Linked DNA regions of Pelodiscus sinensis. The protein of the gene in region 2 purifies or fractionates together with the protein of the main gene of each other region. This does not show direct contact. Links are inferred from orthologs where the notes say so. Each region holds a gene or a part of one and is shown on either strand. Other genes may lie near its edges.

What was found.
Region 1: the proteins of RBBP7 (region 2) and SIN3A purify together in Homo sapiens (affinity purification with mass spectrometry; 8 studies listed by BioGRID and IntAct, counting the BioPlex papers as one, with this or other methods). This does not show direct contact. The link is inferred for Pelodiscus sinensis from reciprocal best matches to the Homo sapiens genes RBBP7 and SIN3A.
Region 3: the proteins of RBBP7 (region 2) and PWWP2A purify together in Homo sapiens (affinity purification with mass spectrometry; 3 studies listed by BioGRID and IntAct, with this or other methods). This does not show direct contact. The link is inferred for Pelodiscus sinensis from reciprocal best matches to the Homo sapiens genes RBBP7 and PWWP2A.

The regions. Positions count from the first base shown.
Region 1 is NC_134724.1:34,507,415-34,517,113, reverse strand, and holds the start of SIN3A (paired amphipathic helix protein Sin3a), read right to left. Parts: upstream 5,743-9,699; 5' UTR 5,679-5,742; intron 1-5,678. UniProt on the Homo sapiens protein: Acts as a transcriptional repressor. Corepressor for REST. Interacts with MXI1 to repress MYC responsive genes and antagonize MYC oncogenic activities. Also interacts with MXD1-MAX heterodimers to repress transcription by tethering SIN3A to DNA.
Region 2 is NC_134711.1:210,748,175-210,757,873, reverse strand, and holds the start of RBBP7 (histone-binding protein RBBP7), read right to left. Parts: upstream 5,632-9,699; 5' UTR 5,341-5,631; coding exon 5,325-5,340; intron 5,137-5,324; coding exon 4,992-5,136; intron 4,258-4,991; coding exon 4,112-4,257; intron 397-4,111; coding exon 223-396; intron 1-222. UniProt on the Homo sapiens protein: Core histone-binding subunit that may target chromatin remodeling factors, histone acetyltransferases and histone deacetylases to their histone substrates in a manner that is regulated by nucleosomal DNA.
Region 3 is NC_134727.1:15,067,811-15,077,509, reverse strand, and holds the start of PWWP2A (PWWP domain-containing protein 2A), read right to left. Parts: upstream 6,022-9,699; 5' UTR 5,919-6,021; coding exon 5,140-5,918; intron 4,678-5,139; exon of another isoform or gene 4,608-4,677; intron 1-4,607. UniProt on the Homo sapiens protein: Chromatin-binding protein that acts as an adapter between distinct nucleosome components (H3K36me3 or H2A.Z) and chromatin-modifying complexes, contributing to the regulation of the levels of histone acetylation at actively transcribed genes.

The DNA.
Region 1 (9,699 bases), on a different chromosome or scaffold from region 2:
AGGAAAAATGTCCGTATAGGAAACAAGCCCCGCCCAGTCCCGCCTCCGCTTCCCTCTCATTGAACGCCGCCTACAGGAACCGGCCGACAACTGGATCACCCGCACGTCAGTCAACACTAGACTCCCCCCCCCTCAGGCTCTGCCCCCACCTCCTAAGAAGCTCCACCCCCTCTCTGGGGAGCCCTTTTGTGGAATGTTTACATCTGCGAGTGAATCCAGATTCTTGCCCCTGCAAATCCGCCCACAAACCCGGGGGCAGCAGCTAGTGCACGTCGTGCACTGCATGTCCTGTGGACCTGCACTCCCGTTGCCTCAGCGTGTGGCCCCCAGCACGTGCACTAATACTGTACAATGCACGGGTGCAACAAGCTGCAGCAGCACGGGCGCGAGTTCTGTCCAACTCCACACGCTGCAGAAACGGTACGCCCAGGGTCACTAACGCACGCTGCATAGGTGCAGCAAGATTCAGCCGCACGGCCGGTAGCCCAGTTTAATACACGCAGACACTAAACTACAGCAGCTATTCGCAGGCACTAGTAATACATGAATGCAACAAGTTGCCTGAGGTCACTCCTACCCCCCAGCTTCAAGATCACCTGTAAGGTATCCAATCTCTTGCGTTGAATACAACTGAAACTGGGATGAAACCTCTTGGATACCACCCTGCAGGAAGCAAGTTGGTTTCCTTCTATCAACCCAATTTTAAACTTGCAGTAACTTCACAGAAGTTAACAAGTGAACCTGTACACCACAAAAGAAATTTAAACTTTTTTAAACAGCAGCAAAATGACTCGGTGGTCGCATTAAACCACAGCACCTTGGATTTGGAATTCAGCCTCGAACTGGAGGTCATCTATTGAGCACATTTTGGATCAGAGTTACTACTGCAGACGGGGAAGTTAGGTTTCTATTCCAAAATAAAGTCCAGGTATGTGTTACTCACATGGAAGAAAAAAAAAAAAAAAAGCTGCCACAGGATTAAACAGTTATTTTTCCTCTAGTCTGAAGGTTTTTTTCCCCTCAGCAAGGAGGCATTAAGTTTGTCTCAAAGGACAGACAGGCCAGTAAATAAACAAAAACAAAAGTTACATGTGCATTTATTTGCATAAATTACTATGAACTTACATGACCTGATTGCTAAATAAAGTCTGCAATCACGGTTAGCCACAATGATGATTGCTTTATTAATTCAGCAATGGAGTTTTTGTGTATTTCCATCACTGATGACTAGTGGATCAATGACCAACTGCCCTAGAAGCTTTTCTAAGATAGCAACATGTACAATTCTCATCCTCAGTAGGTACTTACTACAAAAGTAAGTGACACACTGTATCCAGTACAAGCTCAATGCTTCCAAGGGACAGGAGAATAATCAAAATAATCCCTAACAGTGTATGTCACAATGAATTCCTGGCATTCAAAAACTGTCACCATGCAGACAACAAATGAAAGATACCTTCTGGTAATACTCTAATGAAACTGTATTCTTATTGCTTCCTGCCTGCCAAAGGCCAATACCATTACACACATTTTCTGTTCCAAACCTTAAAACTGACCAGAATCCTTATTATTTGGAAGTATATTTTGTACCTCAGAGACAGTCAAGAACACACCCAGTGACCTTAACATCTCCCTGACTAGAAGAGCCTACTGCAATAGACATGGGACAGCCAAGGCAAAGAAACACCGTCTTAAGCACATGGGTGTTATTTTTAAGATTTGGTTCTATATCTCTGTTGTGTGTTGCTCTAGCTAAACTCTTTCTCCTGGTGTAAAAAGTAACAATGCCTGGGTCACTTTGAGAGTATCAGAGAGGTAGCAGTGTTAGTCTGAATCTGCAAAAGTGAGGAGGAGTCATGTGGCACCTTATAGTCTAACAGATTTACTGGAGCATAAGCTTTCGTGGGCAAAGACCCACTTCCTCAGATGCATGTAGTGGAAATTCAAGAGTGTCTTTCACCTTCCACTTATAACCCTGCTAATTATATAGTACTGAGTAGCAAGATTTTGCCTGTCGCTGCAGTTTCAAAACAGTGACTTTCTTTTTCAGATTTCCATTCAAATAAAAAGGTGAACAGATTACCCATGGCCCAGTGATCTTAGAAATCTTCACATGCCAGCACCCCTTACTCACAGGCTGTCTTAGTGCATATACACACACACACACACATAAAGTGAGAGCTATTGTTAAACCCTCTGTGGCTTCTTAGACACGCCTGCTTCCAGCTAGCTTCCAGCACCTTTGGAGTAGAAGTGTATGCTTTTGCTTTAAAATATCTTCCAACACGACTGGACTTGTAGTTCTGAATTCAGAGAGAAAGACTTCAACAAGACTCCCTTCTAAAGAGCAGCCCCTGCCCATGGGAAAGGCTTTACAATGAGTCTGTCTGAATGTAGTACAAGCAGCGAGGAAGGGAACCGATTTCTCTGCATTAGACTGTCTCATTCGGACTCTGAAAACCGGGGTGAACTCCCTATCCCCTTTTCCGCGTGTTAACTCTGCCGCTGAAAGCGGTTAGGGCTACTACTCCCACGGTAAAGCAAAGCACGACATCCCCTGGGTCAAACAGGGCTTAGAGGAAAACCCACGTGCTGCGCATCCTATCCACATGTTGCAGGGCAAAAGTACACCGTAGTAAAGACAAACACCACGCACGCAGAGCTCCCTCTGTCTGTACTCCTCGCTGACTACATAGTACAGGATTTGTAGCTAACCAGAGGGTAGATACATTGTACGATCCACAGCAAAAGTGCTTTACGGCCACTTTAACCCATAGTCGGCTTGTGACGGGCTAATCTATCAAGGATCTGAAAGGAATCGCAGCAGGGGAGGAGCTGGTACGCGCTCAGGACACCAGTACTGGGGGAGGCCACCGACACCTTAACAAAATGTTTGGAGAAAAGTTTCCCTTAAGTCTTTCCCATACAAAGAGTGGAGCGGGGAGGGGCGGTAGAACCAAGCATTGGACCACAACTCTACCTTCCGGCTAGATCCCAGAGAAGGGGCAAAGAAGCAACTATGCTTCCTCGAGGCAGTCCAAACATTCTGGCACCAAACTGGACTTGGAAGGAGCGAAAAGAAATTGGGAAAAGGTGGGGGAGGGGGCTCGATTCATGCTGCTGCTTTTTTCCCCCCTCAATTGTCCACCTCGGGGGCGCACTGGGCAGAGCATGGGGCGGAGTGCGGGGCATAGACGCATAAGCGGGGATCTCTAGTATTTGAGATACTGTGCCAGGTAGATTCCTTACAGTCTCCGAGTTAAAAAACTCCGGAGTGAGCCCAGTCTGGACTTCTCCCGCTCAAGAAAAACGTGAAGCATGGGGCAAGGAAACAGGGCCGCCAAGTGTTTTTGCTACCAAGCTTTAAGAGCAGAGAAGGAAGCTGGGATGACTCTCCCGCCCCCCCAGGAAGCTGGCCTGGGATAGCGTGCAGGGAGAGAGCTCCCTCCGAAAATATCCTAAACAGTCACCGCTGCCCTTTGCTGTGGGGAGGAGGGATTTGATTAGGAAAGAGGCATCCTAGCAGGTGGCCCAACCCCCAGCAGGAGAGCTTGTCGGGGGATGGGGGAAGGAATGCCTTTCCCTTTGCCGGGGAGCTCATCAACTGACTGATCTGCGGGAGAATCCTTTTGTCCCTAAGCCCTGCCCCGCATTAACTGCGCAGCTTCACTTCCGGGATGGCTGCGCCCCACGTGGGGCGGATCTATTACACGTGGGGGGAGGACGGGGGAGACACCGGACCTGCCTTCTCCCCCTCCCCCATTCTCCCTCCCTTTCGGAGACAGAAAGGAGGTGGGTCGATGTTTTCGTTTCTACCAATCAGCTCCAAGGAGAGGAAAACATCCCTCCTCCCTCGCCCCGCCGGAATTAGGGAGCCCTTTGCCATTTGGGGTAGGAGGGGAGGGGAACACCAGCCTGAAAAACAGCCAGGACTTCAGCTGGGCGGAGCGATTTAGGAATCCTAGCCAATAAGGAAGAAGGGATGGCTCTAGTTCTCCAATAGGAGAAGGGCTCATCCCGCCCAGTGACTGTACGGAGGGGGAGGCAGTGCGTGTGCTGCGTATTCACTCTAACAGCTCCCCTGCAGTGGCTCGGTAGGGAACGCCGCTTGCATAGCTGAAGGAGCAAATAGCAAAGGAGAGGGAAAGCGGCTCAGGCTGGCAGGACGCGGAAGTGGATTCCCGCATTTGGGCTGGAGAGGCAGAGTCCCCTCCTTTTCCTCCCCAAATCCACGCCTTGTAAACTGTAACGCTAACCCTTCCCTTTCCAGCCAGCTGCTTCCGCCCCGCACAAGCCAGTCTTGCTGGCGGCCGGCGCGCGGCCTCACTCACTTGGGTAGCACGAGGAAAGCCCTTTCCTCCCTTGAACCGCGAGTCCACCATGGAGAGGGCCTGTCCGTCGCGGTAGTTAATTCCAGGCAGATTACTCCACACCCTAAACCTCCTTCCCTGTCTCCTGCAGCTGATGATCGCCCTATCTGCAGCGTTTCCTTTCCTCGGGTCAGAGCCGGACCAATTCCCCCCCCCCCCCCCCCCCATTCCCGACCTTCCCAGCTCTTTTGCTGCCTGAAACTACTCTGGGCCACCGTGCACGAGAGCAGCAAGGGCCAGCCGACTGCGAGAGAAAAGGGGATAGCCCTACCCCGAGGCTGTCCATCTTTCCCTCCCACCGGCAGAGGAGGCGGGGTGGAAAGATGCAACTCCATGTTTGCAAAGGGAATCAGGCTCAATCCGCCGAGGGATGAGAGCAGGAAGGCTACTGCTCCGGCTTGGGGCGCAAAGTGGGTTCGGGGCACAGGAACTAGCGAGCGTTCGGCAACAGAACATTAGCGGGTTCGGCGGTGGAACGTTCACCCCCCGCCTGGCTACTTTGCGTTCGGCAACGGAACGCCACGGCAGCTGCGAGAGGCTCCGCTCGGACCAGCGGGGCTTCAGCTACGCTCGTTTTAGCGTGATTTTAAAAATAACAATCACGCAGCTGCCAGTTCAGAGAGAGGGAAGCTGGAGCTGCAACCCGCGCCCCCCTGCAGGCGGCTGCCTCTTGGCAGATCCATTCACCCGCCCCCGCCCCAACAAGTTTCACGTAGAGAAGCACAAATCTACGGGTGCCGATTCCGCCCTCCCTGCGAGTAAGACATCCGGCCTTGGGATTTGTAAACTAGATCCACGCTCTGGCAGCGCCTGCAAAACCACGCACCGAGCTGAGCTGCAAAAGTCACCCTTCAATCTACTCCTCAAACTCCTAAACCTCCTCGCGGGACCCCGACCCGCAGCGCAGCTTTGTTTATGCCAAGCAAAATAAGGGGCGGGGGAACCGAGCTGTCCTTGCTCCTCCTCCTTCTTCCCCCGAACTGCATGGAACCCAGCGCGTTGTTAAACAAACACCAGCAGCACGCACACCACCCGGCCAAACGCCTGCTCTTCTCGGATCTCCGGACAGAGACGAGGGCAAAAGGCAAAGCTAAACCCAGGGGGAAACGGCTTTTAATTTCTCCTCTCTTCCTCAACGGATCCGCCAGCTCAGTCCCTCGCCCACCCTGATTCGCAACAGCTCCTCCTACCGCCCCCTTTCTCCCCTCGGGTTCTGGCCTGCTTTGGGCCGGGAGGTCTTAAATCCTCACCTCAACCCTCAAAATGCCCAATATTTTTGCGACTAAATTGAAAGCAGCTGTTACATACCCTCAAAGCCCAGGCGAGGAGTCCTGAATGGATGGGAACGCCCCCCACGCGAGATTGGCCTTTCGCTCAAACGCGTCACTTCGATCCCGCCTATCAGGGGCGGGAAAGCTGGAGCCAAACCTGCAACCTAGGTCACGCCCTCTCCCCAAAACACGCAGGGCTTTGTGCAAAAGCGGAGCTCGGTGCCCGGTCGCCGCTCAGGTCCGTGGGACATGCGCCTGCACGTCGGGGAGCGAAGTTAGCGCTCGCAGCCGCTTCGCTTTCATGTCTCGCTGCACTTGAAGCACTTTCGGAGCCTACCTGTTACCGTGCTAGGAGCACTTTGGAAAGGCAAAGTCCTAGGGCCAAGGGAGCGGTGCGGTCGTGCCGTGATTCCCGCCTTGGCAGCCCGGCTGCAGGCAGCGCCGCGAGTGAGTCTTTTCTGATACACTGTGCCTTGTCCTAGCAGCTTCCACCCAAGCATTAACTCCTGTAACTCCATTATCCTACTTGTCTACTGTCTTCACCCTGCTCTCTTAGGACAGCATGCAAACACGCAAGGCTGACCCTTGCAACAGGCCTTGGGGTGAGAAGTAGATATATTACCCTCATAGGGAAACTGAGGCACGGAGCATAAATGATTTGCCTGAGAGCTGTGGCAGACTGGGGAGCTCTGGTCTCCCAAATCTCAATCCTCTACTTTACACTGCTATACCAACCCATGCAGGACAAGACTCTCACAAAGAGCACAGGAACCTGTTTTGGAAGAGCAGTGGGAAAGGCTTAGTGAAAAGGTGAGCGTCAGGAAGGAGCGTTCTCTTCTCCACAACTGTTGTATACAAATGCATAGGACTTATTATTATTTGTATTATTGTAGCACCTAGTAGTCATGGACCAGGACCCTGTTGTGCTAAGCGCTGTACAAACCCAGAACGAAAAGACAGGTCCCAGCCCAAACAGCTTGTTGTCTTATCTATAATCTATATACAAGACAAATATACTGATGGCTTCAGGAAGATGGGGGAAGAACAGGAAAACAATGAGCCATGACTGGTCCTGAACACCTGTAGACAGTAACAACTAATCCTATGGCACCTTAAAGACTAAGGCTATGTCTACACGGGCATGAATTTACGGAAATGCTTAAAACGGAACAGTTTTCCGTTATAAGTATTTCCGGAAAAAGCGCGTCTACATTGGCAGGATGCTTTTCCGGAAAAGCACTTTTTCCGGAAAAGTGTCCGTGGCCAATCTAGACGCGCTTTTCCGCAAAAAAGCCCTGATCGTCATTTTTGCGATCAGGGCTTTTTTGCGGAAAACACTACTGTGCTGTCTACACTGGCCCTTTTCCAGAACAGTTTTCTGGAAAAAGGGCTTTTGCCCGAACGGGAGCAGCATAGTATTTCCGGAAAAGCGGCTGATTTCTTACAGTAGATCGTCAGTGCTTTTCCGGAAATTCAAGGGGCCAGTATAGACAACTGGCAAGTTATTCCGGAAAAGCGGCTGATTTTCCAGAATAAGTGGCCAGTGTAGACACAGCCTAACAGATTTATTTGGGCAGCTTTTGTGGTTAAAAAACACTTTGTCAGATGCAAGAATGTGTGTCAATGGCTGGAATCCTACGGTGAATTTTGCAAGATTGGGGCCAAAGTTTGTATCCAATAACTGCAGACATGTTCCTTTTAGATTTGCTTTGTTCATTCGTTACTTAGACTGTAAGCAACTGGGGGCAGAGACACCTATGCAGTTGAACTGGTAAACAGCAGGTTTACTCAACTAGGAAGGCTCCTAAGAGAGATTAAAGTACATTTCCAGGGCTCTAAGCAATGGATCAGTGATCTGCCCAGGATGTATCAACAGGTAATAAAACTAAAACTTGGTTTTCTGCACCTGTAACTCGAGTGTAGATCATAAAATCATAGAATACTAGGACTGGAAGGGACCTCGACAGGTCATGGAGTCCAGTCCCCTGCCCTCATGACAGGACCAAATACTATCTAGACCATCCCTTATAGACATTTATCTAACCTACTCTTAAATGTCTCTAGAGATGGAGATTCCACAACCTCCCTGAGCAATTTATTCCAGTGTTTGACTACCCTGACAGTTAGGAATTTTTTCCTAAAATCCAACCTAAATCTCCCTTGCTGCAGTTTAAGCCCATTGCTTCTTGTTCTATCCTCAGAGGCCAAGATGAACAAGTTTTCTCTCTCCCTCCTTATGACACCCTTTTAGATACCTGAAAACTGCTATCATGTCCCCCCTCAATCTTCTCTTTTCTAAACTAAACAAACCCAATTCTTTCAGCCTTCCTTCATAGGTCATGTTCTCTAGACCTTCCTTCTTCTCTAAAATCATTCTTGTTGCTCTTCTCTGGACCCTCTCCAATTTCTCCACATCCTTCTTGAAATGCGGTGCCCAGAACTGAACACAATACTCCAAAGCTATGTCTACATTGGCGGCTTCTTGCACAAGGCTTCTTGTGCAAGAAGTCTTGTGCAAGAAAACGTCCACATTGCCCATGTGCAAGCTGTGCTTTTGCGCAAGAGTTCCCATGGCAGTGTAGATGCTCTCTTGTGCAAGAAAGCTCTGATGGCCATTTTAGCCATAGGGCTTTCTTGCACAAGAAATCCCTGCTGAGCATCCACACTGCCCTCTTGCACAAGAGCTCCTGCGCAAAAGGGCTTACACCTGATAAAAAAGAGCGTAATTCTTGCACAAGGAGCCCTCTCTTACCACGCCGTACTGTAAATTTCCTTGCGCAAGAGCGGGCGGGCAGTGTGGACGCTCTGCAGATTCTTGTGCAATAACAGCCGTACTTGCGCAAGAAGCCGCGACTATAGACATAGCCCAACTGAGGCCTAGCTAGCGCAGAGTAGAGCGGAAGAATGACTTCTCGTGTCTTGCTCACAACACTCCTTTTAATGCATCCAAGAATCATGTTTGCTTTTTTTGCAACAGCATCACACTGCTGACTCATATTCAGCTTGTGGTCCACTATAACCCCTAGATCCCTTTCTGCCGTACTCCTTCCTAGACAGTCGCTTCCCATTCTGTAGGGCTACGTCTACACTGGCCCCAAATTCCAGAAAAGGGATGCAAAGCAGGTAAGTCAGAATAGGGAAATCCGCGGGGGATTTAAATATCCCCCGCGGATTTAAATAAACATGTCCGCCGCTTTTTTTCCGGCTTGGGGAAAAGCCGGAAAAAAGCATCTAGACTGGCGCGATCCTCCGGAATAAAGCCCTTTTCCGGAGGATCTCTTATTCCTACTTCAAAGTAGGAATAAGAGATCCTCCGGAAAAGGGCTTTATTCTGGAGGATCGGGCCAGTCTAGACGCTTTTTTCCGGCTTTTCCCTAAGCTGGAAAAAAAGCGGCAGACATCTTTATTTAAATCCCGCGGGGTATATTTAAATCCCCCGCAGATTTCCCTATTCTGAAGTTTAAAATTAGCATGCCCCTTTTGGAAAAGGGGCCAGTGTAGACGTAGCCTATGTGTGAAACTGATTGTTCCTTCCTAAGTGGAGCACTTTGCATCAGGTACATTAGCGGTAGAAAATAATCACATCCCCAGACTGGTCAGTGTTTGGTTCAAGTTTGCATATACATTATTGGCTCCACTAGTATATACAAATAGGTAGCTGTGATTTAAGTGTACATGTAAAGATAGCTCATGTATGGCATGATCCCGTACAGTGCTGAAGACCTGTACACCACATTTACTTCAGTGGGAATTAGAGTGATTGGTACATCAAGGAGGTTGTTTAGCCTGGTGGTATCTGTAAACCAGTTGACAGGTGTGGGTTAACATCTGCTAATGTGAGTCTCACCTTAGCTAGTCTCTGGTTCATTTTCTATACTTTTTGTTCTTCCTTGTTTTTAAAATGAGGTAACAAAAGGGAATCTCTCTCAGCACAATATGCTAATTTGAAACACAACCAGGAACTTCTGACTTCTGAAGCCCAGGTTCTGACACAAGGAATGTGTCACTAGACTCTCTGCCTCAGTTTCTCTGTCTGTAACACTGGACAATAATTCTTA
Region 2 (9,699 bases):
AAAAAATTCCCTGCTTTAAGTTGTTCAGCTATAAGTCCAAGTTTTTTTGGAATGTATCTTGGACTTATATCAGGATGGCCTACATACCAAATTTGGTGGCCCTAGCTCTTACAGTATAGGAAGAGTTCTTGAACAAAACAGATGGACGATAAGACAGACTCGTGTGCTCAGACACACAAACTCTCTCAAATAAAATATATAAGTTCAAGTAGTTTGACTCACCTGGTTTAGATGGATGTTTGGTGTAATCAAACACTAGCACATCAGAGGAAGGAGTTTTTGTAGCTATGATGCAGGGGTTCTGGGGCATGTAGCGAGCACGATTTACTTCACCTTCATGGTTAATTTTAATTTCAGTTTCAATTTTACCGGTTACAGAGCCAAAGCCGCCAAATTCTAGATTTGTTTTACATATAAAAATGTTTTTGGTTAAAATTATATCATCTATTTCATGTGCGATAAGCCAGCATTCTCTGGCTTTTCATAATGGCAAGTTGTTTAATGTAGTAACAATGGGGGCGGTGCCCCCTGCTCACCACGCTCGCCAACCTCCCTCTCTCGGGGGATAGGCAACCCCTGACTCTCACCCCCGACCCTCTCCGGCACACCAGCCCCATTCCTTGCTCCTCCCCCCACTCCACCCCACCACAGCCAGGAAAAGCTGAGGCTGCAGTGCACCAGCCCCGGCTCTCCATGTGGCCACCTCAGAAGTACGAGCTAGCAGTGGGTGGAGCTTGGCTTCAGGCAGAAGGAGCGGGGCTGGGCTTTACCCACCTATGCCTACCCCCCCCACCCCAGCGGACACTGATGTGATGACATCACTCTGTCATCCCACAGGAAAATATTTTTTATACAGACACACAAGTCACCAGGATGATTAATTACTTTACATTCCTTTAAATACAATCTTAAAAGTTATCATCTTATCTTGAAAAAAAGAGAAGTATTAAACTGAACAGATCATCACAGTAAGTAGTGGTTGACACCTTAAAAGGATAAATCTCCTGATCAAATTAGTCTATCAGATTGGTTTAGTGCAATGGTCTCCAACCTTTTTACACCAAGATAACTTTTGAAATGACAGAACAAGCCAAGATCTACCAACCCACCCCTACCTTGAAGCCCCACCCCCTCTATTCTCCTCCTCTCCATCACTTGCTATCCCCAACCCTTACACTGCTGCTTTTTCCCCCCAATTCTTCTGTAGGAAGAAGTTTTTCCAACATTTGGACTGTCTAGACTTGATCAAATGTCAGAAAAACCCCTTCTTTTGGAAGACCTTGTGGAAAGAGGAATGAATATAGGGGTGACTGAAAGATCATATTTGTTCTTCCACTAAAAGAAGAGGAAGAACAAATGCATCCCAGGATGCAGAAGAGTTTTTCTGGGATATCTCCTGAATCCTGAAAAACTCCTGCAGTCTAGCCGTACCCTCGCTGGGCTGAGACAGGATGTGTAGGCTCCGGGGTGGAAATGAGGGATTTGGAAATGAGGGATTTGGAAAGGGGTGAGAGGTGCAAGCTCTGGGAGAAAATGGATAAGGGAACGCTGGCTCGGGGAGGGGACTCCAGGCCGGACAGTGTTGGGGTCAGATGTAGGGTTAGGGTTCTAAGTAAGCCACAGACTTCTGGATGTGAGGGTTCAGAAATTTGGGTTGGGATATGTGAGGGGCTCAGGGCAGGGGGTTCCAGTGTATGATAGGCTCAGATGTAGGGTCTGGGGGAAAGGGGAGTGCAGGAGTGTCGTGATGCTGTGGCCAGATGGGGGCTTGGCCCCAATTGGGGGTTTGTTGGCCAGGCTTCATTTTCAAATAAAATACGACATCAAACACAAAAAGTTTCTGCATTGTCTTTATTTCTGAGAAGGGCAGGGAACCTGTTTTGAGTCAGGGGTCACTGACCCATAGAAAAGTCAGTTGGGGCCACACAAGTGAGATGCCAAAAAACCCTCCTCCACCCCCCCCCCCCCCCAAGCTTCACTAATGTGGCCCCAACTGTGTTGGTGGGAGCAGGGGACATAGTACTGGGGAAGGGTTTGGCTGCTCTGCGGGAAGGGGGTTTGGCCCTGGAGCAGGTGCCCGTGGGGGTTTGGCTGTGCTGCGGGAGGCACGCGCCGGCCCTGGAGGAGGCACGCGCTGGCTTCCCGAGGGGAAGGGGGGAGAATCCTGGGAGGAGGTGGGTGCAGGGGATTCTCTGCTCCCACTGTTCTCTCTCCCCCAATCTCCAGCCTCAGAAACCTGTCCCCACTGGCACTCTGTCCCCTTTCCGGTCCCCAGCCGCAGAACTCTGTCCCCTACCAAAGCACCCACTGGCACCTGCTCCAGGGCCAAACCCCCTTCCCGCAGAGCAGCCAAACCCCCACGGGTGCCTACCCTGGGGCCAAACTCCACTCCCGTGGCACAGGGAAACCACTGCGCTCAACTCACCCCTCCTGCGGCACAGGGAAGCCGCCGTACTCCTCATCCGAGGCAGACGCCCCCTTCCGCAGCACGCCCAGCACACCACAGAGCTATGGGAGGGGAGCAGCCAGCGCACTTCCAGAACCCCTGTAAGTGGCGTGAAGCTGCAGACTGGACTTCCGTCCACCCCGTGAGAAGCCAGCACTACGCTGGAGGTAGGTAGTGGGGCTTCTCGGAGGTGGGGGGAAAATGAGGCCTGGAGGAGCCCAAACACCTCATGATCGTCTGGTCGAGGCCTTGCGATTGACTAGTCGATCGCGATCGACAGGTTGGTGATCACAGCTTTAGTGTCACAACTGAAAAACTTAGTCAAGTCAATACCTATACGAAACAGGAAACTTCTTGCAGGAAGTTCTCCAATACTGACTTGACTTAATGCACGTTATCGGGTTTCAGATATTTTTTTTAAAAGGGTCATTCTAGACTAAAATATATTAAGGCTCTAGAACTACACTTTTAAACCACTGAGTCTCAACCAGGGGTACATGTACCCATAGGGATATTAGAGGTTTTCCAGGGTATACATCAACTCATCCAGATACTTGCCTAGTTACATATACTCTGACACTTCTGTAATTTTTAAATCTATTTTTGAAGCAAGTAGGTCTAAGTGAAGTGAAATTTGGGGTGTGGAAGACAAATTAGACTCCTGAAATGAGTATACAGGCAGTTCCCGGGTTACGTACAAGATAGGGACTATAGGTTTGTTCTTAAGTTGAATTTGTATGTAAGTTGGAACTGGCTCCAGATTCAGCTGCTGCCACAAACTGACCAGGGGCTGACTACAGGAAGCCGGAGGCAGAGTTGCTCTGCCCCCAGCTTCCTGGAATCAGCCTGATCAGTTTCAACAGCTGCTGAATCTGGAGCCTGGGACAGAACAGCTGGGGCGCTGCCCGGTAGGTTCCCACAGGACCAACCTGGCAGCACCCCAGCTGCTCTACCTGAGGCGTCCCGCAACAAAAGCCTGGTCTGCTGGGAGGGGGGAGGGGGGCGCACTAGCTACACCCCCTCCTCCCCCAGCAGAGCAGGTAGACGCGAGCAAAGCCGCCCAGGCAGCGGGACCCTCGCCGCCTGGGCGGCTTTGCTCCTGTCCCCCTGATCTGCTGGGGGGGGGGGTCCAGCAAAGCCGCTGGACTCCCCCAGCAGACCAGGAACACCCGAGCAAAGCCGCCGTCTGGGAGGCTTTGCTCGTTTGCCCGGGAGCAAAGCCGCCCAGGCAGCGGGACCCCCGCCGCCTGGGCAGCTTTGCTCCCGGGCAAACGAGCAAAGCCGCTCAGGCGGCAGCTTTGCTCGGGTGTCCCTGGTCTGCTGGGGGGGGGGGGTCCAGCACCTTTGCTGGACCCCCCCAGCAGACCAGGGAGACCGGGAGAAGCTTTTCTCGCCCCAGAGGACATGGGTGGGCTCTGGGGCGAGAAAAGCCCCGTTCGTAAGTGCGGATCCGACGTAAGTCGAATCCGCGTAAGTCGGGGACTGCCTGTAGTGGTCTGGAAAGCTTGAGAGGCACTGCAATATACTAAAAACAACTTTAATATACAAATAGACTCTTAAGAAAAAATGTTTTTAAGGTTACAAGTTAGAACACCATTAAACAGAATAGGCACTGTTTTACATTACTGCTAAAAGAACACAATCAACAATTCCTGCAATACTCACCTCCCTTCTCACTATCATAGTGAGAAGCATCAAACTGAGCATCATCATTAGGAATCTGGACTCTTGCAACAACCAAATGATTCTGCTCATCAGAGGTATGTGTTCCCAATACTAGCCAATGAAGGGCATAATCCTTTCCTTCAGGCCTGTTCAATAAAACAAACGGTCTTACAAAAGTAGAACAGTTATTCCATATTAGTAAATATTTTGAGAGATAAAGTTCTTCTGTAACATCCCAATTTCTATGGGAGATTACAGATGAACTGGGAAAAACACTTTTCCCAGACACATTAGGCACAGCCACATACATGTTTACCAGCTGAACCCCAGGTATTCTTGACATCAGTAAATTGGACAAGTAAGTTTTTAACAAAACTTTGTTTATGCTTGAACAGTGTAAATACAACAGTGTGTACACATTAAGTAGAGGCATTTTGACATCAGCACCGACTTAAAAATCCGTATTAATGAAGTTAAAGGCATTTAACATTAAATAGGCATATCAAACCTGGATAATCTAACAGGCAGCTTTTCTCTCTACAGAGTGCAGCAAGAGTAGTCCAGATACCGAAGGTATCACTGACTGGTGAAATATAGCTGAAGTAAAATACAGGACAATGTAGCACTTTAAAGACTAACAAGATGGTTTATTAAATAATGAGCTTTCGTGGGCCAGACCCACTTCATCTAATAAACCATCTTGTTAGTCTTTAAAGTGCTACATAGTCCTGGTGAAATATAGGTATCACTGACTGGTTGCAACCCTTTACTGCTAGGATTATCCTTCCCAGGACGTCTCAGTGGGCGCTGCCAACCCTGCGGGGCAGGCGGCTTGAAGCGGGGCCCTGGAGGGAGGGTTGGAAGGAGGAGTCCCACCCACCTGGTGACATCAGGCAGCCACTGCACCGTGAGGCTGGGCCACTCGAGCGCGTGGGTCATCACCAGGTCATACAGGAACGGGGTGTTCTTCTTCCAGATTTTGTACTCCTCGTTGATGACGCGCTCCTCCACCGTGTCCTCGAACACTGCGCGGGCAGAGAGGCGCGCTAGGCGGGGGCTCCTGGGAGCCGAAGTGTGTGATGGGGGGGGGAGAAATACCCACCCCAATGGACCGCCCCCCCCCCACCGACAACCGTCTGGGCCTAAGAGAGCCGGTTGAGGTGCGCGCGCGCGTCGTCCCCCCCTCTCCCGCGTCCCCCCTCGCGGCTCTTACTCTCTTTATTCGCCATTTTGTGACTGGGGCTCCCTCCCGCGCTGCGCGCCCCTGCCCCGGGCGGAGTTGGCGCCGCCGTCTCCGCCGCGGTTCAAAAGCGGCCGCTCGCGCGCCGGCCTGCAGGGCTCTAGGCGGCCTCGTTGGCTTGGAGTCCCAGACTCCCAACCGCCCATGCGCGTGCGCAGCGCCCCGGCTGCTCTTCCTCCGGGTCAGCCCCGCGACGGCCCCGAGGCAGTGGCCAATGAGAGGCGGCGCTGACGCCAAAGCGCGCGCGCCACATGCGCGTGCAACAAGGAAGCCAGAGTTCAACGTTCCCGCCCACCGGCCACCGCCCCTTCCGGGGCTCACTCAGGCAGCGAGGCGGAGAAGCGCATGCGTAGCAGGAGAGTGCCCAACAACCTGAGGGCGGGGCAAAGGAGGGCCTGGCAAGCCCCTCTCCGGTTTGATGCTGCCAAACAAACAGCGTAGAGAATTTTGGCCCCGCCCCATCAGCAGTGACGTCAACGCTGCCCTAGAGCCTGCCGCTGTGACGCCCACGCGGTTCCCGCCCCCAGCACGATTGTCTCAGACTCCTCAGATGCATTGAAAAGAGTCAATGGGGGGCTGTGTTGATTGGCTGGTTTCTGAAGCGGCAGGGTTGGCTCTTAAAGATGTTCTTCCCAGCCCCCAGGGAGAGAACGTCTTCTAGGGAGCCTCCCTTGCTGGCAGGTGGGGTTCTGACTAGGGCGTGCAGCTTCCTGATCAAGAGCTGACAAAGATGGTAGTGCCATAACCCAGTCTGCCCAGACCAACACTCAGAGCACGTCTACACTGGAGCTAAAACTGGAATATAGTTGATGTCAAAGTAGCTTAACTCTGCTTTTGATGTTGTTTACACTGCAGGAAGTCAAAGGGAGAAGTCGGAGAAGCCTGTTATTTTGAAATTATTTTGAAATAACAGCCTTGGGCTGTGTCTACAGTGGCGCGATCTTGCGCAAAAACGGCCACTCTTGCGCAAAAACTTGCTGCCTGTCTACATTAGCCTCGTGTTCTTGCGCAAGTAAAATGACGTCCTAATGTCTAAAATCAGGGCTTCTTGCATGAGAACTCTGACGCTCCTGCTCAGGAATAAGCCCTCTTGCGCAAGAGCTCTTCCAGAAAAGGCCAGTATAGACAGGCAACATGAATTTCTTGCGCAAGAAAGCCCTATGGTTAAAATGGCCATCAGTGCTTTCTTGCGCTAGAGAGCATCTACACTAGCATGGATGCTCTTGCGCAAAAGCACATGCTCTTGCGCAAAAGTACATGCCAGTATAGACACTCTCTTCTGGAAGAGTTTTTGCAGAAGAACTCTTCCACAAAAGAGTTTTTGCGTAAGGACACGCCAGTGTAGACATAGCCTTGCTGTTTAGACGTGCACTCTGCTATTTTGAAATAAGCGTGCAGAGTGGACATAACTACGTCTACACTGCAGACTTTTTGTGCATGAACAGCTGTTCTTGCGCAAAAACTTGCTGGGTGTCTACACTGCAAGTGCGTTCTTGCACATGTTACCCAGGCTAGTGATTCAAAATGGAGTCTACTGATCATTATCACCTCAGCAGTTTCTTCCCGCCAAAATCACACGGAGGAATGCTAACCTATGCACCCCCCTCTAATGCGATGTGTGCGCAGCCAGGTTATGCACCTTGCACCCTTTTTCCTATGCACACCGCCCTATTCTACTGCACCCCACTCGCTAACCCAGTTTCCCGCCTTACTGCCGTCACCCCTAAGAAGCGCCATCCGCACGTGGTCTGGTCAAGGCCGCCCAGGTCTAACACTAACTGTGCCCTCCTGAGGTGTGAGAGAAGTCTCCTCTCTAAGGACTTTGGGACTGGTATCATTGGATTATGGGACTTTACTATCCATTGTTTATGTACCCGCGGAGCCTCACCAAGCCGAGGGACTGGTGCCAAGGAATCCGGAGTGTGTCAGCCATATGGAGGTGAGGATACCCCACTTCAAGGGATCTGCCTGCTGTCCTTCCTTTAAATTAGCCACGAGGTCGCAGACGTCCATTGCCGCCTTCAATTCTTGTTGTAAAGTATATTCCTTTTGTATACGGGATCTTTTCTATTCTCTTTTCTTCCAGGTTAGGGTGGGTCACTTACTGTGGTTCTTGTTGTTGATGCGTGTTGCTATCTTTCTAAAATATAGGGTTTGGCCCTAAATTCGGGTCTGACCTGATTTCTGACTATCTTCCCAAGGGTGATAAATACGTGTTCCAGGTTGAATCTGGCTTCTGTGGGGGAGGCAGCATTAGGCTTTAATTAATTGCCCACAGCCATTGTTTACCTCAGCCTTCCGAGTAACAGTTTGGCAACCGCGGCAGAACCTGGTGTGGGCTGGTTTAGTCCTCTGGGCCCACCCCCACTTATGGGGGTGGAGCATAGATGCACGCATCAACAACAGATAGCTGTATACGGTCCAGTGACTCGGGGAGGGAATCGGGGCAGGCCGGGGCCTACTCCCGTTTTACCACTTTGCGGGTACATTTCCCGGAGACCCTATCCGTTCTCCCGGTTTACTCTTCCAAGGTGATCGTGTGGCTAAGCAGGGTGAGGATGCTCCTCTGCGACCCATGTCTTGTAATGTGTATCATTCTTGTAACCTAAACTGTCAATCATATTAAGAAACCATTAGCCTCTAGTCACCTGGCATGTAGTAATACCTGACTGTTTGAATTTGAAAACTTATGAATAGGGAGTTGGTTAATGAAATTAAAATAAAGGATGCCAAAATTGACAAATTACGCACACAGCGAGATGCATTAAATATTCAAATTGAGGAGGTATTAAAGAAATGTAATGAATTAGAAACTAACCTTGCGGATTGGTCGGGTTATTAAACTAACTCTTTGGGAAGTGTCTTTAAACACTTTTGACCTTCCTTATTCTGTTCGATAGACAGGTAACAGAATTGTGGCAACCGCGGCAGGACCCTCTCAGAGTGTCAGTTCTTAGTTTTTTTATTTAAGTGTACATACCTCAAATGAACATCAAGTGTGTGGCTTGTGGGTTTTGGTTTGTTAGGATTTAGGCAGATAGAGGGTAACAAGGAGGGGATAGGTATCCTTAAGCTGTGTTACCTTGAGATAAGGCTTAGCTTGTCCTACTTCTGAGCCAAGCTAAGCAATTCAAGGAGTAGTCTTTTGGGCAGTTTAACCTGAATTTAAAAGGTTTAAAACTGAGGGTCCCTTGTTTTGGGTCTCCTTGAGGTGGCTTGCTGCTGCTAAGACAAAGTTACTCACCTCATTTTAAAACCCCTTTAGAGGCGGTAATCCTCTGGGTTCAGGACGTTTCATCAATGGAATAAACGTTCCACCACTTTAAGATTTTAAACCCCTTTAGAGGTTTTTCTTAGAATGTTCAGGTGTGCTGGCGATCTGCCATTTTAAGTTTGGGGTAGCCATTTTGGGTTGGAACGTTCCTCCATTCAGGTGTTCCACCATTTGCATAAGATTAATTTGCATAAGATTAATTTGCATAAAATTAATTTGCATTTTGACCGGTCCAAGTACATTTGCATAAAGTCAATTTGCATTTTGGAATGTTCACGGGGTTCAGAGCGTTGCCTAGTGTGGAATGTTTACCGGCGGGTTGCTTAGCAACTGCTGCTTCACTGCGTGGAGCGCCCCAAAGGTGCTGCGCAGTCTGCTGCGTACAGTTTATTTATTTAATAGCTTAAGGAGAATTTCTGCAGAGCAGAGGCCTGATCAGCCTACTGTCTCTGATAACACAGAAGTCCCCAGGTTTCTTCCAGACTTATAAAGGTAAGGTAGGACCCTTACAAGTTTAAGGTATGGCGTCCAAGAAGGCACCCCGAATCTTTGGACTGCAAGGCAGCAAGACAGCAGAGCAGTCAAATAAAATCCTTCTTGAAGAAGATATTAATGTCTTTATTAAAAGTGTGAATGTGTGGGATGCAAGTGATTTAAAAGGGAAAGATTGTTTAAAGAATTTTAAAGTAATGTGGGAAATCTTTGTTCAGACCAAACCCAAGCCTAATAAAAAGACTAAAAAGGCAGCCATTATACAAGGATTAGCCATGGTGGCTAGATCATTAGACGTAGAGGTAGAGGCTCTTAGTAAGCAATTAAATGATTCGCTAGAAATCCGAATGGCACAGTACTCTACCATTAATAAATTAAAAGCTGATTTGGCTCTGAGAGAAACCAAATACAATACCTTATGTTCACAGAGGGATGCGCTATCGCATCAAATGGAGGATGTTATTAATAGATGTCAACAATTAGAGAGTGAAATAACTGATAAAGTAGCTAGATTTAATGATTCTAAAGCTACAGCGAGACATCTATTAAATGAGAAAAGACAAGTTAAACCCATCTCAATGG
Region 3 (9,699 bases), on a different chromosome or scaffold from region 2:
TTTTCTGATACTGACAGCACTGTCCTAAGGCAATAATAGGCCACCAAACCTAAGAATCTAGATAAACTAATTCAGTAAGACAAAAATAGCACAGAAGTTAAGTTTTATCTTAAAAAAATCTTAATTGTTAAAGTGCTGAAACATTCTAAGTACATACTACATTTCTAAAGTTAACTTATTACAGGCAGTCCCCGGGTTACTTACGAACGGGGCTTTTCTCACCCTGGAGGACACCGGCGGCAGGATCGCCCAGACGCGCCGCAGTCCTGCCGCCCGCGTCCACCAGGGCGAGAAAAGCTACTCCGTGTCTCCCTGGTCTGCTGGGGGGGGGGGGGGGGGGGGCAGCAGACCAGGGAGACGCAGAGAACCCGGGCGGCGGGACCGCGGTGCGTCTCGGTCCCGCCGCCCACATCTCCCTGGTCTGCTGGGGGGAGGGGGGAGAGGGGGCGCAGCTAGTGCGCCCCCCCAGCAGACTAGGCTTTTCTCGGGACGCCTGTGGTAGAGCAGCTGGGGCGCTGCCGGTTAGTCCCGCAGCGCCGCTCTCAGCGCTACTGGACCAACCAGGCAGCACCCCAGCTGCTCTGCCCCAGGTGTCCTGATTCAGCCGCTGCTAGTCAGTTTCAGCAGCAGCTGACTTGGGGACACCTGGGGTTCTTAAGTTGAATCTGTATGTAAGTAGGAACTGGCGTCCAGATTCAGCCTGTTGAAACTGATCAGCGGCTGATTCCAGGAAGCCTGGGGCAGAGCAACTCTGCCTCGGGCTTCCTGTAGTCAGCCGCTGGTCAGTTTCAGCAGCGGCTGAATCTGGACGCCAGTTCCGACTTACATACAGATTCAACTTAAGAACAAACCTACAGTCCCTATCTTGTACGTAACCTGGGGACTGCCTGTACTTCATTCTTCTTTTCATGATCTGAATCCAGAACTCATTTGCCAATTCACATACATTCGTAACACACTAGCAAGACATTGCAGAGTATTTACGTAAAGAAGTCCAATTCTCATCCCTTTGGTTTTAGCAAGTTTACCTCCCATATCCACCCAAAGAGGGACCATCCATTGTACACAGACAGAGGGACAGACACAGAACATGCATCATTCCCTCATCAGCCCATAAGTAGTAATACAACACTAAGCTTTCCACCAAAAACTCTGGATGAATACTTTCTCTTACCTTTAACAAAAGTTTTGGGGCAATTTGGAAGCATAAATGCATTGAAGCTGCACTACTAAAGAATCAAGCGGCAGCTTCTCATCCATATGGATCCACAGTGCTTCTATGTATTTGGCTTTGTGTCTCAAAGGGATATCAGAAATCAAAAAGGTGGCCGCTCCTCCATGGTGAGAATTTTTATAGCCAGAAGTCACGGACATGTACATCTGAGGGAATGCACTCAGTCAAAAGTAAAATGCAGGACAATGTAGCACTTTAAAGACTAACAAGATGGTTTATTAGATGATGAGCTTTCGTGGGCCAGACCCACTTCCTCAGATCAAATAGTGGAAGAAAGTAGTCACAACCATATATACCAAAGTCCTTTGGTATATATGGTTGTGACTACTTTCTTCCACTATTTGATCTGAGGAAGTGGGTCTGGCCCACGAAAGCTCATCATCTAATAAACCATCTTGTTAGTCTTTAAAGTGCTACATTGTCCTGCATTTTGCTTCAACTACCCCAGACTAACACGGCTACATTTCTATCACTAGTCAAAAGTAAGTGATTAAGATGCAAGTATTTTTTGTTTTTGCACACAAGATCCAGAGTAATGTAATGGCAAGTGACTGAACACAGTGAGAACCAGCAAATCTAAGGGTCTGAACTCCAGATCCACAAAAGAATATAATGAGGATTGGGCCAAAAGAAAACTGATGAGGGTCAACAAGGACAAGTGTCAAGTCCTGCACTTGGGATGGAAAAATCCCAAGCATAGTTACAGGTTGGGGTAAGTAGCAGTTCTGCAGAAAAAGACCTGGGGATTACAGCAGATGAGAAGCTGGATAGAAGTCAACAGGGTGCCCTGTAGCCAAGAAAGTTAATGGCATATTAGGTTGCATTAGGAGCATTGCCAGCGGATCCAGAGAAGTGATTATTCCCTTTTATTCGGCTCTGGTGAGGCCACATCTGGAGTATTGTGTCTGGTTCTGGGCCTCCCACCATAGAAAGGATGTGGACGCATTGGAGAGGGACCAGCAGAGGGCAACCAAAATGATTAGGGGGCTGAAGCACATGACCTATGAGGAGAGACTGAGGGATTTGGGTTTGTTTAGTCTGCTAAAGAGAAGAGTGAGGGGGAATTTGATAGCAGCCTTCAACTTCCTGAAGGGAGGTTCCAAAGAGGATGCAGAAAGGCTGTTCACAGTAGTGATGGATGGCAGAAGAAGGAGCAATGCTCTCAAGTTACAGAGGCCTAGGTTGGACATTAGTAAAAACTATTTCACTAGGAGAGTGGTAAAGTACTGGAATGGGTTACCCAGGGAGGTGGTGGAATCTCCATCCCTAGAGGTTTTTAAGTCTCGGCTTGACAAAGCCCTGGCTGGGTTGATTTAGTTGGGATTGGTCCTGCCTTGGGCAGAGGGCTGGACTTGACAACCTTCTGAGGTCTTGTCCAGCTTGATTCTATGAAAAAGCTAGGGAACTGTATTCCCTGCTTGCTACTCACCAAACTCCCTCTCAGATAGGGAGGGCCTGGGGCTGAGGCTACCCAAGCCCTGACCCTCCCATCCCAGGCCGCTGGGGAGGGAACAGGGCCGAGCCACCCTGGCCCCTGCCCACTCCTGGCCGGCCAGTCCTGGCTCTTACCCACTGCCCCCCAGCCACCAGGGACTCAGCCCTGCACCCAGCCCGCCCCAGCTCTTTGCCTTGCCTGCCCCAGCTCTGCCTCCCCCATCCCCTATGCCATCGGGCAAGGCAGAGACTGTACCAGTCCCGGTCTTTCTGGCCCCCCCCCCCCCCAGGGCAGCCAGGAGCGGGCCCGGGCCCAGGCTACACCAGTCCCAGTCTATCTACCCCTGCCTGGGCAGCCAGGAGAGGGGCTGGGCACAGGCCGCACCAGAAACGGGGGGGGGGGGGGGGGGAAGTCGGGCTCAGGCTGCGGCAGCTATGACTCCCTCCAGCCATACCCTGGCCACTGGGATGGGGAGGGCAGACAGCCCCAACACCCAGCCTGTAGGTGAGCACGGGGAGGGGCAGGCTGGAAGTGGGTGGGGCCTGGCTCCTGTGGACACAGTGAGGGGATGCTGACTGAGTCGTCCCACAGGAAATGTTTCTTTTATATACACAGAGCTTAAATAGGTGAGTAACTGAATGGTCCATCACCACTTCGTGAATTTTCTAGTGTGAAATACTGAAGTGTGTGCACTTAAACTATCAGTCTGAAATCAATTTAATAAAGGCTTTTCAAACCATAGCTGGTTAAGTTCAGAGTTGTATGATTAGCTTCCATGGTCCTTTAAGATGTTTCCAACAGGTTCACAGAATGTAGAGGACATAAACCTCTTTAAACATCAACCCCATAAAACAAGCAAACTGAGCCCAGAGAAAGCATGCACAAAGTCATTTGCCCCATTTCTAAAGGAAGCGCTGAGAACAGAGACTGCAAAGGTAAATAATCTCTGAAAACTGATGCCTGTTCTCTGTCATGACCACTATTTTGAATTTCCAAGTAAGAACTTTTGCAATTCTGTTTTCCAAGGTTTATGTTGTTTACTTTTTGTGCTTCATATAGCACAGGTAGTGAGAATGATTGGGCTATTTTCACTTTGCTCTGTACTTGCTTTATGTTGAAGTATCAAACTACAGACATCAAAGAAAGGAGATATTTATATCATTACAAACTTTTTTTTTTAAACAATTTTTACTCCGCTCAAAGTTTCCTGAAATGCTGGATTTGACAAAACTGTCTCTCTGGGTCCAGACTGACTAGGAGGACATTGGTTCCTTGAGGAGAAAGTTTGGTTCACAGGAAGACTAACCCTCTCCCCAGACACAAGGAGCAATCATATCAGAAAACCTACCAGGGCTCCAATAACCTTCAATTTGAAAGCTTCAGAGGGGTAGCCAAGTTAGTTTGTAACAGGAAACACTTAAAAAATAACAAATAGTCTAGTAGCCCCTTAAAGACTAACAAAATATGTAGACTGTATCATAAGCTTTCATGGGCAAAACCCACTTCTACCTACATGTTTTGTTTGTCTAGTAGCACCTTAAAGACCATTTTTTGTTTAAGTTTCTTCAATTTGAAGACTGCTGAAATCCAAACAGTAATACAAAGTGACTTGACAAATGCAAGTTGTAAATCAGAGATGAGCACCCAAAATAAAACTGTGGATCTGAACATACCTATTTGGGGAGGATCAGGTCAATTCTCTATAGCTCAAACTCATGACTGTTACTAACAGGGAAGTATTAGGAAGGCCCAGATGAATCCTGAGTTAGAAAGAAATGGCCATGTGCTCTTCCTGCTGATCTCATTTTCTACTTCCCACAAGCAATAACTCTTTTGTAAAAAAAGAAAAACAAAACGAGGGGAGGAGACGGAGGTTGTTGGTCAGGGACCCGTTTTGTGCTGTATTTATTACTTAAAAGGGACAGGCCTTTCCCTTACCTTTAACCCAGTAGTAGGCCAGAGGACCAGAAAGCGTGTGTGGCAGCAGCAGAGGCTACATCCCCATCACAGCTGTCGATCGGAGAAGGTGCTGTTAGGTATTGTCTCAAAGCAACAAGGCTGCTGGGGCACCGTTACTACTCACCATAGCCAGGCCTCAGGCTTAGCCTGCTGCTGTAAGGGCTGGGTTTTTCAGACAGGTAGTAATTAATAAGGGGCAGTTTCTCTTCCCTCTCACGACTAGACAGAGCTTAAGGGGTAACATGGCCCCAAGAACCCTGCCTCTTAACTCCACGAAGGATGGAGACTAGTGACTTCTGCACAGAGCCTGGCTCCCCCAATTCCTTCTCTCAAAGGGGAGGGAAGGAGGCGGCTGAGAGGGACCTGCGGAGTCCAGGCCCGCTATCACCCTTTGCGAAAGTCCCCGAGGGCCCCGGGCCGGGGATCTCCCCTTAGGGCGGATCTCCCCCGGCCGGGAGCAGCGGTTTTCCCAGCCGGGCGGGGCTCGGGCAGGCTCCCAGCGACATCTCACCTTTTGGAGAGGTCCATCAGGACCCCGGAGAAGAGCTTCTCTCCAAGCCGGAACGACACCACCAGCGCGTCCTCGATGATGTGGTCAAGGGTGACCAGCACCTCCGAGCCAGGCAGAAGCGGAGGCTCCGCCGCCCCGTCGGCCGGGGACACCGGGGAGCCGGCGGCCGGGGGCTCCGGCTTTACAGCTGCAGCACCAGCAGCATCCGGCTCCTCCTCCTCCGGCCGGCACGGCTCCTCCCCGGGCTCCGGCTCCACGGGGCCCTCAGCAGCCGGCGGGCAGGGCTGCGGCTTCTCCTCGGGAAGTTCAGGGTGCCCAGCAGGCGGCGGGCAGGGCTGCGGCGCGTCCTCGGGCTCCGGGCTGAGCGCTCCTCTGGGCTCGGCCTGGGGCGAACCCAGCTCCGCGTCCTCCGGGTCTGTCCTCTCACGCTGGGGCTCCTGAGTCCTCGCCGGGCTTCGGGCGAGCTCTACGGGCGGAGGCGGCTCCTCGGCCTCCCCCAGAGTGAGCTTTGCCCTGTCGGCCTCGTCCCCATCGGGCACGGCCGACTCCACAGCCTCGCTGACAGCGGGGAGGGGGTCTGCGCCGGCCTCGCTGCCTGGGATGGGCTCCAGCTCGGGCTCGGCTTCGCCCGCTCCCGCGTCACCCGGCACCGCTGCAGTCTCGGCCGCCTCCGCAGCCATGGCCGCCATTTTCTCTGCTGCTTCGCGGCCGCCTCCCTCCAGCAGCGGGATCGATAACCGCGGCCTTCTCCGCCCGCCTGGGAGGGAGAGCCCGCCCATTGAGTGTATCACTCACACCTCATTGGTGGCTGTGGCTCGAATCTCACATCCTACTGGAGAGCAGGAAAGTCCATCGAGCCGAAAGGAAACTTCTCATTGGCTAGTTGCGACTCCGTCCATTCAGGGGTCGGGAAGAGGAAGAAAGGGCTGAGTTTAATAAAGATCAAAGGAGCCTGCTGCTGGAGGCAGTTGTGCTTTCCTATTGGCGCAGGGACGCTTCCCGTCGGCCTTAAGCCCTCTGAGAGGCTGCTAATTGGTGCAGAGTTACGTCCGTCACACTGAGAGGCGCCTTAGATCAGGAGTTCAGTATAAAGGGAGGTTTCTGAGTGAGCGGCAGGAAAGGGCGGGGATGGGAGGCGGGCGTTAAGGTTAGAGAGGTGTGAGATTAGTTTGCTTGCATGAGAGGGAGTTAGCTCAAGGTAATTCAAAACTGGGAGCTTATTGGGATGGAGACTCTCCATTTCCGTACAGAACCTAGCACCTTGGCGTTCTGATTCTGACTCAGAGGTTGCCCCAGCACAAATAATAATGATCTTGCCAACTCTTGTTCCAAGGGGCCCACAATGGGAGGATGAGCAAGATTCATTGCAAAAGGGACCAGAAATGGAGAGAAATAGGAACAAAGAAGGAAAAAATATTGACACAAAAACAGGTGGCCAAATCAGTAAAGAACTATAACATTTTCTAAAAGGTTATATTAAACACAAAACAAAAATGAAGAAAAGAAAGGAGAAAAAAAGCAAATGATAAATATACACTTTGGCTCAATCAACACTAGCCTCTTCTGCCCCAAAACTATGAAAACTGCTAGTTTTAGTCATTCTTCCCCAGATTCAAACTTGGAATGCTGTAAATCAGACACTACTGTATAGTTTGGTAAGTTGACATGGATGTGAAGGGATGAAGTGGAGGAGACAATTGGAAGGTTAAAAGACAAAAGTAGATATTGGAAAGAAGAAAGCTCAGAGAAGAGATGCTTAGCACGAATGTAATTTGTAAAACTTAACACACATCCCTCATGCAATTACAGGGAATAAACCATTGGCCGAGAGTGAAATACGTGGTAAAGTAATTACCTGAATCTAATGTTTTAAGGATTTTAATGTATAATAAATTTATAGTTATCTTTTTGAAGGGTTCTAGAGGGGGTTATAGCGTCATTGAAATGTAGCCACCTCTCTGTTAAAAGGCAGCAATTAGGCAACTGACATAAAGCAATGACAGTGGGATAGTGATTTTTTGGCAAGGATACTGGAGCAAATCCCTCTGCAGTTTCAAAGCCTACTTGTATACACTGCCTTTAATCTTTCCATACTGGGAAAATTGAGTTTCATGCAATTATACTAGTATGTAATGCAAGTAATAACTATAATGATCTTTCTTATAAAACCAAATAATCCAAAAGCTGGGGTTTGCAGCCTTCCATCATAGCAAAAGGAGCTGGAGAGGTCTGTGTATAAGCAGAATCTGATCCTCCACATGCTGCCAAACAATACATGCTACCACATTCATATGCTCCATTGTAGTCCCAAGAACCATGGGCCTCAATCACAAATGCAAGAAAGGCATAAAATACCATTCCAAGTTGATAATGTTTTACGTTCTCTTTGTACTGGTGTAACTGACTGTATAAGCTGTAGGGCAACAGTAAATTAGGTCCTAGTGTTAGCAGCACCAGCCTCACATAGTTTGTAAAGGGTTTATGTGTACGTAGATACATTTCTAGAGACAGAAAATGCCTTAGAAATGTAGATCCTGAGTTAAAAGAAATTTTAAAATATAAAATAGTTGAATTGCTCTGTTCTATACAATATACCATGTTCCCAGGTAATTTAATGTTTTAAGGGATGTGTGGTTGAAATACAATGTGTATTTTGTGGGAAGGTTAGTACTAGAGAGTAGGATATTGAATTGCAGTGTTTATTCTCCATCCTGCATGGATCTCTGTTAGGGAGAAACAGCAGATGGCTGTATGATTTGTGGTTAAAAACAAAACCAACCCAATTTTCCAGAACTACCCAACGTTAATATTAATGCCTAAACCATCTCTAAACATTTTGTTGGACCATATTTTTAAAGGCATGTATACTGTTTCCTAAAGCCATCATGCTTTCAAAGAAGAGCAACCATTTAGGAGCCCTCAGGGCCGAATATGTCTGTTGCTAGTATTCTACAGAATAATACCTTACTAATACCTTAACTTCAAAACTTGCCCCAGTGCAATGATTTCAATTTCACTTCAGATGTAAGATCTCAGTTTTGTATTTCAGAATTGTTTTGTTTATTCTGGTATGTGTGCTGTGAACAAAATAGTTCTGTCCCCAAAAGGTTTTCAATGGCTATGAATGATTCAGAAATGTTTTTCATTTCAGAGGGATGCAGGAGCAGAGGGTTGGTCATAGAAGGAGAATTAGGTCTCTGCTCTTTTTTTATGTTATGTCAGCTTCCCAGAATTCTGACAACAGATGAAACTTAAAAAAAAAAAAAAAAAGTCCTGCAGCACCTTAGAGACTAACAAAACATGTAGATGGTATCATGATCTTTCCTGGGCACAACCCACTTCAGATGAGAGACTAGAAAACTGAGATTCCCTTCCCTAAAATCAGGTACTTATTGCCCTACTCAATTAAGCAATAGTAGAAGGCAAGCTATTAGTTCCCAGTGAAAGCAGCACAAAAATAAGTTCCAGAAGCCTGTGTTAGGAATTGTGAAACATACTCAGGAAGTAGGGCAATGGCGAAGTTGTAAAACAGCACTGCTGCAGATGCAGCCAAAACTGTCATGGTTTTTATCTCAAAATACCATCGTTAGTATGGATACACTGTTCCATTAGTGCTTAAACCAGTGATGTTCCATCACTTCAGTTAGCCACAGTTCATTTCTGTAGTGTAGCCAGGGCCTAGTAGAGCAGAATGCCAATAATTTCTGAGCCTATAAGAGTCACCAACCAATACAAAGAGGCTACTCAGCCATTGAACTAATGGGACATTGAGATCCAGTAGCTCAGCTCAGCAGGGTCTTTGTTATGTTAAATTCATTCTTCCAAAGGATGGGAGTAACATGGAAGAATTCCTCTTCAAAAATTGCAATGTTGCTTTGTGAAATCACCCTGCTTTGCCAGAAGTGTTACTTATGGCAGATATAGCATCTATTAAAATGCTAACATTGTCATCATTTATACTTAATAGAGTCTCCAGCAGCCCTGAGAATGAATGTAAAAGGATTGTTTACAGTTTCATTTACATTTCAGTAGCCAAGTGTTTGTGAAATGATGTAAACAAATATGTATGCCGCTCTGATCTACTGCCAGATGCAGAAATACAGTAGCATAAGCTATTCCTGTATTTGGAGGTATGTTATGCCAAAGGCAAGTGATAAAGAGACTCATTTATTATGTACAAACTTGCTTGTTTTACTGTGTTTGTCTCCTCAGGTGCACCATTGACAATCATCTTCCTGTTTCATCCTGCTCTTGCACTCTGTTATAAACGTAGTCTGTAAACCAGTGGTCTCCAAACTTTTTAAGCACAAGATCACTTTTTGAATTTAAGTACAATTCAAGATCTACCTCAAACTCAAATACCCTGGCCCCGCCTCCTCTGTGTCCCCTCTCTGAGGCCCTGCCCCTGCTCACTCCCTCCCTCTCCCATCCTCCCTCACTTTCATCAGACAGGGGCAGGGTGTTCGAGTGCAGGCTCTGGTCTTGGATTAAGGGTTTTGGAGTGAGAGAGGGGTTCTGGGCTGAGCTTGGGGCAGGCAGTTGGGGTGTTGGAGGGAGTTC